2 linked regions of the Arabidopsis thaliana genome follow. The protein of the gene in region 1 binds, or shares a complex with, the protein of each later gene. Each region holds a gene or a part of one and is shown on either strand. Other genes may lie near its edges.

Region 1 (4,934 bases):
ATCATCAGACTAACATAGATATGTTAATGGCTTCGCTCGTCATAAGAGGAGGAGAAAGTCAGAGAGCACATAAGAAGACAGTAAATTGAAGGTCAAACCTTAAAATTTCTCGTCTCAACTATGTCTTTGAGGCCATTCATTGGCTGTGAGAGCTGCGAGGAACAGAACATTTTTCTTCCTGTGACGAGAAGAAGAAGAACTGAAGAGAACTGGACCAATCGAAAAACAAACCACAAAGTGTTTTTCACTTTACCACAAGCACAACGCATACGTACGCGCAACATACGCGAGTAAGCTCCACGCTTTACTTATGTAAAACAACATTATATAGTAGCTAATCCTTCAGCAAACAACATAGTCGCTTTGGCCGAGTGGTTAAGGCGTGTGCCTGCTAAGTACATGGGGTTTCCCCGCGAGAGTTCGAATCTCTCAGGCGACGATATTTTTTTAATATTTTGTCTTTCAAAACAATTTCCCGCCCTTTAAACAAACAACCGCTCAGTTGACCAAAGCGCCCCTTCTCTCTTTCATTCTTATTTTGGTGGCAACAGTGATGAATTTGTATATCAGATTTATAGAAACTTGAAACGATCGCTGAGTTTATATATATATATATATACATTTTATTAACAATAGAACCAAAATGAACATATGAGTCATCACTAATCTAACTACACCATGCCCAACTCTTATAGCTGAATGTTCAAAGTATGGTTTCTATCAACATATTTTTTCTCTCTTCTTCTCCAAGTAGTACAGTATGCAGTTTTCCATATAGCGTTTACAAAAGCATAGACCGAAGCTCCATTATCAATCTTGGTGCCTCCAAATTTTCGTCCTTTAACGAATTCCCGATTAAGCTTTGCATTCGAGTCACAAATATCTCATCTAAAACCTGTAAATCATCATATAACAATAACAAGATAAGAATCAAAAAGGCATATCCTTATTGTTTTTTGCAGTGATAAAGAGTTGTGAAAGAGAAAAAGAAAAAGAAAAATGAGTTGTGAAAGTCCAAAGTAAAGGCCGAAAGAAAACATAACGGCCGAGAGACGGAGCTTGTTCCCATCCGTCGATGCAAAAAAAAATTCCTTCTGGACTCACGGTGACGGTTGACCACATGAACGTATTAAAAAGTCTCCTTTCTCGGACTTTGTCTTTTTATTTTTCACTTTTTTCCTTTGCAGACGACACTACTACTAACTATTGATTTCCATTTTGGTTAATATACTTTAATATTAAAAGAATATATACTTTAGTCTTTTAAATTATGTACTTTATTTCTCTTTAAGAAAAAGTTTTCGCATTTTATGCAACAACAAAAAAAAAGGTGTGTATTACAAACTTCATAAGTATTGGAATTCATAAGGCCCATATTAGGCCTAATAAAGGCCCAATCAGAGTTCTGACTTTAAAACTAGTGACTAGAAGCTGACTCACTAAAAAACTATTATCGTCCATTCACTCGCTCTTATCACAAACCCCAAACCCTCCCAACCATCCCACTCGCCAACACAAACCACGCTCCTCACTCTACGAAAGACTATAACATCAAACGCCGTCGTATAATCGAAAGTGAACACACTTGCGCGTGGGTTTAATATACATCTATTTTTAATAGCCCACCTGACTCTTTGCCCTTTATTCTTCTTCTCTCTTTCTCTTTCCCATTTTCTTCAAATTTTCCCCATTAAACAAAAAAAAATCAAATCTCTCTCTTTCTCTCTCTAATGGCGGCGACATTAGGCAGAGACCAGTATGTGTACATGGCGAAGCTCGCCGAGCAGGCGGAGCGTTACGAAGAGATGGTTCAATTCATGGAACAGCTCGTTACAGGCGCTACTCCAGCGGAAGAGCTCACCGTTGAAGAGAGGAATCTCCTCTCTGTTGCTTACAAAAACGTGATCGGATCTCTACGCGCCGCCTGGAGGATCGTGTCTTCGATTGAGCAGAAGGAAGAGAGTAGGAAGAACGACGAGCACGTGTCGCTTGTCAAGGATTACAGATCTAAAGTTGAGTCTGAGCTTTCTTCTGTTTGCTCTGGAATCCTTAAGCTCCTTGACTCGCATCTGATCCCATCTGCTGGAGCGAGTGAGTCTAAGGTCTTTTACTTGAAGATGAAAGGTGATTATCATCGGTACATGGCTGAGTTTAAGTCTGGTGATGAGAGGAAAACTGCTGCTGAAGATACCATGCTCGCTTACAAAGCAGCTCAGGTTATTTTCATTCTCCAAATCTGATTTGGCTGATAAGTTTTGTTTGTGAACTCTGTTTACGAGATTTCTTCTATTGGTAATAGCTTCCAAATCTAGTAATTATGTCCTGATCTAGAATTGGTCTCTAATTGAGCTACTATGCTTATCAAATCATGAGAAAGTAGATTGCTGTTTTGTTTCAGTTTTTGTCTTAAAGAGTAAAAATTGCTTTCTTCAAACTGATGGAGATGTTTTTGTCTATTTTTCGATGTGATGTTTTTTGAAGGATATCGCAGCTGCGGATATGGCACCTACTCATCCGATAAGGCTTGGTCTGGCCCTGAATTTCTCAGTGTTCTACTATGAGATTCTCAATTCTTCAGACAAAGCTTGTAACATGGCCAAACAGGTTACTCTTCTTCTTTCTTTTTCGCTGCTTGCCTCAATTAGGAACATCTCTTTCTCTCTCTTTCCGTTGCCTCTCTGGTAACAAACATATAAGTCGTTGACCTGAGTTTGTCTCTTGAGAGTTTGCTTCTGTTTCTTGCTTTATGTTATTACAAAAGAGAATTGACCACTTGTTGACTAGTCTTGTTGTACTTTTTTCTTTTCTTAAGATGTATTGTTGGGTAAAGAACCAATCTTTGGCCCTCTGTGTATCATCATTTCTTATCACTTTGAATGAGCTTGCTTGATGTTTTGACTAAGAGGATTGACCACTTGTTGACTATTTCTGTTGTACCTTTATCTCCTGAGTATGTTTTGTTAGATAAAGAACCACTCTTTGATTCATGGTGCTTCATCTAGTATCACTTTGAGTCAGCTTTTTTAACAAAATTCCTCTTTTTTAATAATCACAGACTAATATGATGATGAAGATCCATGTTGTCCAATACTAGGACTGATGTCTCATTCTGTTTCAACTAGAACTTACGTATAAGACATTTAGTAAAACGGCAGAAATTTTTCACTGTGGGGGCATTCTCAATTTTGATACTGGATTTTTAATTGTAGGCTTTTGAGGAGGCCATAGCTGAGCTTGACACTCTGGGAGAGGAATCCTACAAAGACAGCACTCTCATAATGCAGTTGCTGAGGGACAATTTAACCCTTTGGACCTCCGATATGCAGGTATTCACATCTCTTTATGCCGTACCTCGATATTCTACACCATTCGAATAACTATAAAGATCATATCTTAGTGTGATTAGTGTTTCCATCATAGACCAATCAGATGCATCATATAAGAGACATCAAAGAACATGTTAAAACTGAAATAACCGCAAAACCGTGTGTGCTGAGTTATTACTACTCTATGTAACAGGAGCAGATGGACGAGGCCTGAGGATCTAGATGAAGGGGGGGAGGGTTGTTACGCGATGTTTCTGCCACCAAATCGATCTCAAAATCCCCATAACCTTTGCTCAAAAACTGTGAAAAAAGATTGAAGTGTTTATGATGATTATGATTGTGCACAGCTTGATGATTTATCTACTCTACTAAACCTCTGTGCTCTTAATATTTATTGTCTCGACTCTGCTCAAGCCTTAAAAACATCTTTCTCCTTAAGGCTCCTCTGGTTAAATTATGATCCTTCTACTGTATCGTCAAAATCAAGTTGGAACCCAAAATTCGTGGATTTTTTGTCGGTGTGAAACTGTGAATAATAAAAATCGTCAATGTTGTTACGTATATAAAATCCAGTCAAACCAAGAAAATCTGTGCAACATAGGCTGTGGAAGAATGCGACCATAGAGAAGCACACACGTATCAAAGAAGTCGAATCTCTCATTACGCAAAGAGATGCAAAATATCAAAAGTGTACTTGGACCACTTTGTCTGCATTGCATGCATGAAAACTATTTATAAAAATAACAGTCTTTGGTCGAATTCTGAGACATTTAGTTGTTTTCTCATACATTACTCCAACTTTTCTTTTTCTTCCACCAATCTTTTCAGAGAAAGATACTGTAAAAACCAAAGTTGCTCGCTCACACGTGATTCCAGTCCACGTTCATTATTTATATAAAGCTTGTCATGTTAAAAGCTTTATATGATTTTAAAGATGTTTATTCTTGAAGTTTAATTGTATTTGGATTTTCTTAAGTAGTGGTATTATTTTTACGGGTTTCTTTTCTTTGAACTTTTTGGTTTTCAGTTCTTTTGTTAAGAGTTTTCCTTTTCAGTCTAAATGCAAATAGATGAATGGATCACAATATGTGTGCTCTCCTTTTAACTATTATGTAGCAAATGATTTTCGATAGCCAAAAAGACTTGAGATGAGTCTCCTCATGTTAGTTATCTAATGATTGCATATGACAATCACATGATCTTATGCTTATGCAGGGGGTTCTGAAAATTCGGTGTTCTCAAGCTAATTATATTGTAGTCCACGAATATGTTTGGTGCAAACGATATTCACACTTCTCACCTCACCAGCAACAATATTAGCTTCTAACTAACAACACTAATATAATGACTAGATATTCATTGACTTGGCCTCTACTTCAAATTCCTAATTCGTTTCCATTTTGTCACTGAAAAATATTTTAATGCAATTTACTATCTAATGTAATATTTTCTGTTCATAATTTGATGTGCGTTTCCATGATAATTTTGTATTAAAATATAAAATAATATGAATATATTCTAACTAATATACAAATATATTCTAACTAATATACCAAAAATTACATAAAATGTCTTTCGTATTCATATTTATATATTCATAAAATAACT
Region 2 (7,738 bases), 3.2 Mb from region 1:
TTTGCAAACGAAGATCTCGTAAGCTTTTAACCACCCACAAGATACAACGCAACTCGGCCATGATCCTATTTGAAGACCTTGTAAAAGCATCTCTTGCATGGTATAGAGCCAAACCATTAACATCACGAGCAATCCAAGCTACCCCACTCATCATGTCAGCATTTCCCCAATGAGCATTCACATTACACTTAACAATTCCAAAGTCTGGAGGAGTCCAGTTAAGATCCAAGCTCGTCCCCCGAACAAAGCATGCGCCATATGTATCTATCTGTCGCGCATTAAGCCACCGTTCCTCTTCTTCAACCCCTATGGATCCTTGTACACTCAAATCCACATGTCTACCTGCAAGCAATTTATCATTTTTATTAAACAAATTAAAGATAAAATTTCTGAATTATTAGTTAGATACAAGTTACAAGAAAAATTGCAAAATTCTAGCTATCGTCTTTTTAAAAACAAACGTTAGACATTAGGCTAATTGTATAGTTTATGATAAAAGGACAACGACATCAAATTAAAAAGATTACAAAACTCATTAGCCATACAAAAGTTAAAAACTCACAAGAGTGTTAAACACAAAATTGACAAGAACCATATAGATTTAAATTGATATATCAAAGAGAGAAGGTTCAGTTACGATTTATGTGTCCTCTGTGATGAGCAATCATGACTTGAGAAGTAGACAATAGCATCGTCTCTTGAACCTTGTTTAAAGGTCTGACCGGCCGTTTTGTTAACCAACTGAAAGATTCTAACAACAAATTTTCTTATATATATGCTTTACCAATTGTTGTCTTTGAACAACCATAAAAAACAAAAAACAAATTGAGAGTTCTTAAATACACAAAATTGAGAAGGTAGTGAATGAAGACTATTATTATGTTACCAAATTATATATTCGTATATGTTTACCACATTTAAAGCATAGTCAATAAAAAATAAAAACGTTACCAAATGGATAATATATTGAAAGTTGATTAGTAAGTATCATTTATGTAATTTCCATCTCGTGTATGCATAATTGTATGCATATTGGTATTATAAATTCATATGGGACTTTAAAAATGGAGTAGTTGCATTTGTTGATAAAACAAAAGAAAATGGAAGTTCTCTCTGATTCAAGAATAAAGGTAACTGTAACATGTTTTATACTCACATAGACATTTTTGATTACTATGTTTTACAAGATTTTAGGAAAATGACTTGTGTGCGTGTGTGTGCTTGTCTGTTGCATAAAAGAGAAGAGCACAAGACTGATATTTACGATTGGTATATTAGAATGCATTATACATTCATGTTTAAATTTTACTGCATTAGGGATTACATTTTGTTATTTTTTGTGCTAACTAATTTATTTTGATTAGTAATCATTTATCACAACGGTAAGAAGTACTATTCCGTTATTTCTGTTACCCTACAAAAAGCAGTAAGCTTTTGATTAATAATCATATATCGCAATGGTAAGAAGTATACTGTTATTTCTCTTATCCAATTCCTGCTTTTGATTAGCAATCATATATTGCAATGATAAAAAATAATCGGATATTTTTTGTTACCAAATACATAAGGCGGTAAGATTAACAATGCCAAAACGTTACCATCGTTATTTTTGTACCTCTATATTATACCAATTTTTCTAGATGTTACTCGAAATACATCTAAACATAAATAAGTCATCTCGATCGAAAAACTTTTCATTAACAATGAGATTTCTAGAATCATATCTACATATCACTTAAGTCTTCAAAAACATAACCTTTTTCTTTACAAGATTCTTGATAATTCTAATCTATTTAATTTGTTTTTTTTCAAAAAATTAAAACCATAAATCAAGTGTAAAAAACAAAAAAAATCTCATAATCTATAGCGTAATCCACATATTAACCAATAGTAACTCGTGGAGGTGATAATTATATAGCTTAATCCAACCCTAGCCAATCATGTAAAGCGTTAGGGATAATGTACTCTTAGAGTCTATCGACCAGTGAAAATAAAAAGACAGTGAAAATACGATAAGAGAAAGAAAAAAAAAAAACAGAGAAGGTAAGAAAAATTCAAAGCGAGGTTCTCGGGAACCAATCTGGAAGGAGGAGGGGTGCAGAGAGAGAGAGAGAGAGAGAGAAGCGAAGACGATGGCGATGATAGGGATGAACATTATTGGGCTATTCATGGTTCTTATGTTGCTTCTCATCTCCCTCATCATCCTTTTCGCCTGCAAGCCATGGCGATATTTTTCTCGTTTCCGATCCTCCTCTCGTTTTTCTTCTACCTTCAAGGTTTCTTCTTCCTCTTCCTCTTATCTCATTCTCTATTCAATTTTCAGAGTCTTCGTTCCACGGCTTCGTTTTTTGATTTTTGATTCGATTTTATGTCGGATGGTTTGTTTTCGCGAAATGATCAATTGATAAAGGATTTGATCATCAGTGACAAGTGTTACGTCGCTGGATCATGATGCTTTTCTCGTGGATTCCGATAGTAGTTGGGGTTATTTGGCGATTTCGTTGATTGATTTTGTCGACGTGGGGGCGGTGAGATATATATTGTGTGTTTGGTTTCTGAAATAATCTGATTGACTTTTTGGAGATGATAATGTGTTGTTGAGTTTTCTCACTGTTGAAAAATTAGGATTCTTTTGTTGTTGTTAGATTCTTTTGAAGCTCAAGAGTTGATAGATTCGTTTGGTTTATAATGAGTGTGGCTGGATTTTCTCTGCCTGCTCGATTTGCACAAAATGGTTTTGTTTGAATAAAGCGTAATGGCCGTTTCAGCTTCTTTTGTGTGCTATGTTTTCTTCTTCTTCTCTAGCCATGGCTAATTGACATTTTCAACGGCTCAAACTGTTGATGTGCACTTAGACAGACATTGGAAGTAGGGAACTCTTGTGAATTTGCTTGCGAAAACTGTCGATTTGTTTCTGAATTTGGACATTGGTGCTTATATATTAGGCAATGTGAATGTTGCCAAGAACTCAGTTTCAGTGTGGGAAATTATCGTGGGAGAACTTCTTCCTCATTAGTTACCTTTTTGTAGGAATTCTGTGAGTTTTGTTTTTTTTGTATTTTTGTCTTTCTACCGGAGAAATGGTAACAAATGAATGAAAAAGGTGAAATCAGCTGTTCATTCATTTCCTAGCTCTGTTATACTCTACTCCTTACTAATCTAATAGGCGGTTTTACTCTCACTGGAAATAGGATACAGCTCATCCATCTAGTCTTTTCGCTTGTAGATTTCATTTGTTTGCAATTTCTCCATAACTTGGATAACATACTAAAATTGTATAAGAACTAAATCCACCTTATTATTACTACATTCTTCATATAGGGAAATATTGAGTTTCTCATCTTTCAGCTATTGAGTATCCAGTTTACGCAACTTTTTTTTTGCTCCTAGCCCTAATTCTTTCAGCGCCATTGTTTGCAGGTGGGGGATTTGCAGAGACCACTTATTTCTGATGATGGAAATTTGATCCAAGGACAAACCAGTGAGGTAACAAGGGAATATGATTTAGAGGGAGCTTGCTACCAAAATGATGGACTTTTGCATTCATCTCTGACTGAGGGACGGTTTTACAAACAAAGGCTTCCTTCGTCATCTCCCCATTTCTCCCAAGGTACTCATTGCCTCTTTCCTCCCCTGCTATGTCCAGCTCTGGTAGACAAGTTGGATTGACTCTAGATCATTAGCGTGATGGAAATGATACAGTTGTATCAGAAACATCCTCTTTGCATTATGAACTCTATGCATCACTCATTCTTGACCTTACCAATCTGCCCTAACTTATGTAGGTGAAAGCTTTGTTCTAGAAGTAATTTCTGAACCTTCTGACAATGCTTTGGTGGGCCAAACGCTTAAACTTCCAGCTGAAAAAGGTTCCTTGGCAGAAGTGCAAACATATGACTGGCAGAATAACAGAAATGAAAACTTGCAATATAATCTGGAAAAGGATCGACTTATTAATCTTTCTCCGAGGCTCGTGGAAGATCAAAGTAATTTCTTATTCTTTTGCTTGCCTAGGGTGTGTAATACAACTTCAATCCATTTTTTGAATTACTTGTGCAAGACATATATCATATTTTGTGTTAGAAGTGCAGGAAGTTGGCTGTTCCTGGAAGTCATCGCGGGTCCTGCCATTGGGCTTCAACATGCTGTGAACTCCACAAGTTCCTCCAAGCTGCCAGTGAAACTTGGAAGGGTTTCTCCTTCTGATTTGGCATTGAAGGACTCAGAAGTCTCTGGGAAACATGCACAGATAACATGGAACTCTACTGTAAGGAGCTATGTAGATTTATTTATACGACTTCTGCATGCCACTTCTTACACTGTGCGTCACACCTGCCTGGTTTTGATTTCAGAAATTTAAATGGGAGCTGGTAGATATGGGTAGCCTAAATGGAACTCTCGTAAACTCTCATTCAATAAGTCATCCTGATTTAGGCAGCCGGAAGTGGGGTAACCCTGTCGAGCTTGCAAGTGATGATATAATAACTTTGGGAACAACAACAAAGGTCTATGTAAGTCAATCTGAGTGGTGAAGGTGCTTGCTGGTAATTTTTTTTGTTTCCCTTGTTAATTTCATGCAATTTCTTTTCATCTTTGGAAGGTCCGTATCTCCTCTCAGAATGAGTTTCAGATACCCTTCAAAATTGGTGTGGCCTCAGATCCCATGGCTATGCGTCGAGGAGGCAGGAAACTTCCGATGGAAGATGTTTGTCATTACAAGTGGCCGCTTCCTGGGGCTAATAAGGTTACCTTGATTAGTGATTTGAGTTGTATGTATGATGATGGGCTTCGCTGCTTTTGATAACATAATTCCAAATGTATATGGTTTCAGTTTGGACTGTTTTGTGTTTGTGATGGACATGGGGGATCAGGGGCTGCTCAATCCGCAATCAAGTGAGTCTTTCTTAAAAAAATCCAAATCACCTCTATTAACTATTTCTTTTATAAAATCCTCCTCGATAGGTCTTATTTTGGGTTTTCTTTGTATGCTTAACCTACGAAATGTCCTAACCTGAAAAAGGCTGCGGTTTTGGCTGTGTTTAAACTTCTAACAGCATCCGCCTTTCTGAGTTTTTCTTTATTGTTTTTGCTTCATTTATTAATCAACTTCTTATGTAGTTTAAAATTTTTAGCTGCATGTGATTAGCCATGCAAATGTGTTACAGTTAGGGCAGGCGTGGTTACAGCCGGGAACAAATATATGAAACTTTGTTCTGTTCATTTTTGTAAATGGGCTTAGTCATTATATGTTAGGAGCCTTCACTAACTACTGGAGCATCTTTGATTTACTTGTGTCTCCAACAACGGCAATTATATACTTGAATATATAAGCTAATTAAACTTCTTCTCCAGAATTATTCCGGAGGTTCTAGCGAATATTTTATCAGACTCGCTGAGGAAGGAGAAAGTGTTATCAAAAAGGGATGCTTCGGACGTCCTTAGGGACATGTTTGCTAAAACAGAAGCTCGCCTCGAAGAACACCAATATGAGGTATTTCAGTTTGTCCTTTTCTTTTCCTTTGATGGCATGTTTGCCTTCTTGACGACTTGGCTGGAACTTTTTCATTGCTTCCTACTTAATGAATTAGTTGATCGATGCAGGGTTGTACAGCTACTGTTCTCTTGGTTTGGAAAGACAATGAAGAAAACTTCTTCGCACAATGTGCCAATCTTGGGGATTCAGCATGTGTTATCCAGTACGTAAAAAATATTATATTGCTATTCTTGAGATTCGTAGTTGCTGAGCTTGCATTAACCAGACTTGTAGCAGCATTTCTTGGTGTAGAAAGAGGGAGGGGACTTGATTACTCAGATTAGAAACAAAGATCTTGCGTGTTTAAAGCGTGAGTGAGTGTGGTCTTCTTAATGAAAACCTCTTGGTTTGGAAACAGTAGATGATTACTAATATAGGCTTTATAGTAGAGTAAATAGACATCAATAGATGAGATTGTTTCACGTCGGAGTAGAATTTTTTTGGATAAGAAAAAGAATATTTGAATGTCGTTGCTTTGCTTTGTGGAAATAGAAAGAGAGTTTATCCCTACATCTTCCTTGATACGGATCTTAATTAATAATAAAAAATTCTGATAGTTGTTTTGCTCTTAGGAATTAATGGTCTCGGCATTATAATAGTAACTTCGACTTTCTTAACTGATTACGATTTGGTTTGCATTTGGCAGTCTTGGTGGCAGATATATACAAATGACTGAAGATCATCGAGTGGTTAGCTTGAGCGAGAGAAAACGATTCCAAGAAGCAGGACTAGCCTTGAGAGATGGAGAGACTCGGCTTTTTGGTATTAGCTCAATGAATTAAACACGCTCAGGTGATTGCAACTTCTTTGTAACAAAATGACCAAATCTGATGTGATAATTTTCTTCAGGTATAAACCTTGCGAGGATGCTTGGAGACAAGTTTCCAAAGCAACAAGACAGCCGTTTCAGTGCAGAGCCATATATAAGTGAGCCTTTGCGTATCGATCAATCTAGTAAAGACGTATTTGCTGTATTGGCTAGGTAAAAAAACATAAACATAAACATAATAAGCTTTTTCCCGTTTTCTGATTCTTGCTCGCTAATTTTTGAAATCCGAATACTGCAGTGACGGGTTATGGGACGTGGTAAGTCCGAAGAAAGCTGTGCAGCTTGTACTTCAGGTAAAATCAATTTCTACTCGTTGAGACATTTGCTATGTCTGAAAACGTCGATCTCATGTAATGTTTATGTTATGGCAGATGAGAGATAAAGAGAGAGGGAGAGAGAGTAGTGCGGAGAAGATAGCAAACGGTCTGCTGAATGAAGCTAGAGCGATGCGTACAAAGGACAACACCTCCATTATTTACTTAGATTTCGATACTTCCCTGTAATGTTAGGAAACATCTTTTAAGATATTTGGGAAGTGTCTTTCTTTTGTGTACCATCTTTTTATGTATTAGTATTTTTGTTAGGGTATAAGAGAGACAAAAAAACCTCAGATGCAGAGATTTAGGATGGATCGTCTTGGTGAGCGACATTGGTTTCATTATCTTTACTTATATAATTAATAATATTATCAGTTAAAGTTTCTGTTTCGTATTTTATTCTTTGGTGAGAATGAATTTCATCAGACAATACAACTTATCAGTTTAGTATGGACTATGGAGTCCGTAATTCTGAGTATTCATTGGTACTTTTGGATTTCGATTTTGGTTTTTGATTTTAGTATCAATACGGTTATTCTAGAGTTTCGGTTCAGTTTTGTTCCAGCTATTTCAGTTTTGTTCTTTTTACGATGTGTACGCAGGCACCAAAATAATACTATTTTGACTGTTGTTCGGTTAGAAGTAGAAAGAAAATCACAGATTTTGTAATAAAAATCTGCCTATTTTCGGAATGAACACGTATACAATTTTGACTGATATATATGGAATGAACCAAAATAGTCAACAGTCAAGAATTTCAAGAGATTTTGGGATTCTTTCCTCAAGTAATCTTACTACCTAATCTGAGTTTTGACTCAATAAATTTTAGTTTAACTTCCGTTTTAAAAATTGGAGTTGTTGTTCAACCTTTTGCATCGTACTAAAACAAATTAAGAAAAACAGAACCCCAAAAAGATTTGAAATTGAAAACAAAGCGGGCCCAAAAATCAGGAGTAGTTCGAGCGTCCACACTAAAAGCATGTGTCCCAACAACACCAGATCCTATCCTCTCAATTTATGAAACGTCATTAAATCCTCTCAACGGTTAACCAAACCCCA

What was found.
Region 2: GRF6 (region 1) and KAPP share a complex: the UniProt entries of both Arabidopsis thaliana proteins name them as parts of the SERK1 signaling complex.

Annotation. Positions count from the first base shown.
Region 1 is NC_003076.8:3,283,058-3,287,991, reverse strand, and holds GRF6 (G-box regulating factor 6), read left to right. Parts: upstream 1-1,644; 5' UTR 1,645-1,730; coding exon 1,731-2,216; intron 2,217-2,481; coding exon 2,482-2,604; intron 2,605-3,209; coding exon 3,210-3,326; coding exon of another isoform or gene 3,327-3,377; exon of another isoform or gene 3,378-3,420; coding exon 3,421-3,516; 3' UTR 3,517-3,519; coding exon of another isoform or gene 3,520-3,540; 3' UTR 3,541-4,139; downstream 4,140-4,934. Other genes in the region: AT5G10460 (Haloacid dehalogenase-like hydrolase (HAD) superfamily protein), read right to left, coding at 99-170. UniProt on the Arabidopsis thaliana protein: Is associated with a DNA binding complex that binds to the G box, a well-characterized cis-acting DNA regulatory element found in plant genes. Specific negative regulator of slow-vacuolar (SV) ion channel.
Region 2 is NC_003076.8:6,486,318-6,494,055, forward strand, and holds KAPP (kinase associated protein phosphatase), read left to right. Parts: upstream 1-2,001; 5' UTR 2,002-2,132; coding exon 2,133-2,276; intron 2,277-3,420; coding exon 3,421-3,610; intron 3,611-3,785; coding exon 3,786-3,986; intron 3,987-4,091; coding exon 4,092-4,267; intron 4,268-4,352; coding exon 4,353-4,511; intron 4,512-4,600; coding exon 4,601-4,744; intron 4,745-4,831; coding exon 4,832-4,893; intron 4,894-5,352; coding exon 5,353-5,491; intron 5,492-5,601; coding exon 5,602-5,696; intron 5,697-5,817; coding exon 5,818-5,847; intron 5,848-6,179; coding exon 6,180-6,295; intron 6,296-6,382; coding exon 6,383-6,515; intron 6,516-6,600; coding exon 6,601-6,655; intron 6,656-6,733; coding exon 6,734-6,865; 3' UTR 6,866-7,122; downstream 7,123-7,738. Other genes in the region: AT5G19270 (reverse transcriptase-like protein), read right to left, coding at 1-342, 638-692. UniProt on the Arabidopsis thaliana protein: Dephosphorylates the Ser/Thr receptor-like kinase RLK5. May function as a signaling component in a pathway involving RLK5. Binds and dephosphorylates CLAVATA1 (CLV1). Functions as a negative regulator of the CLV1 signaling in plant development.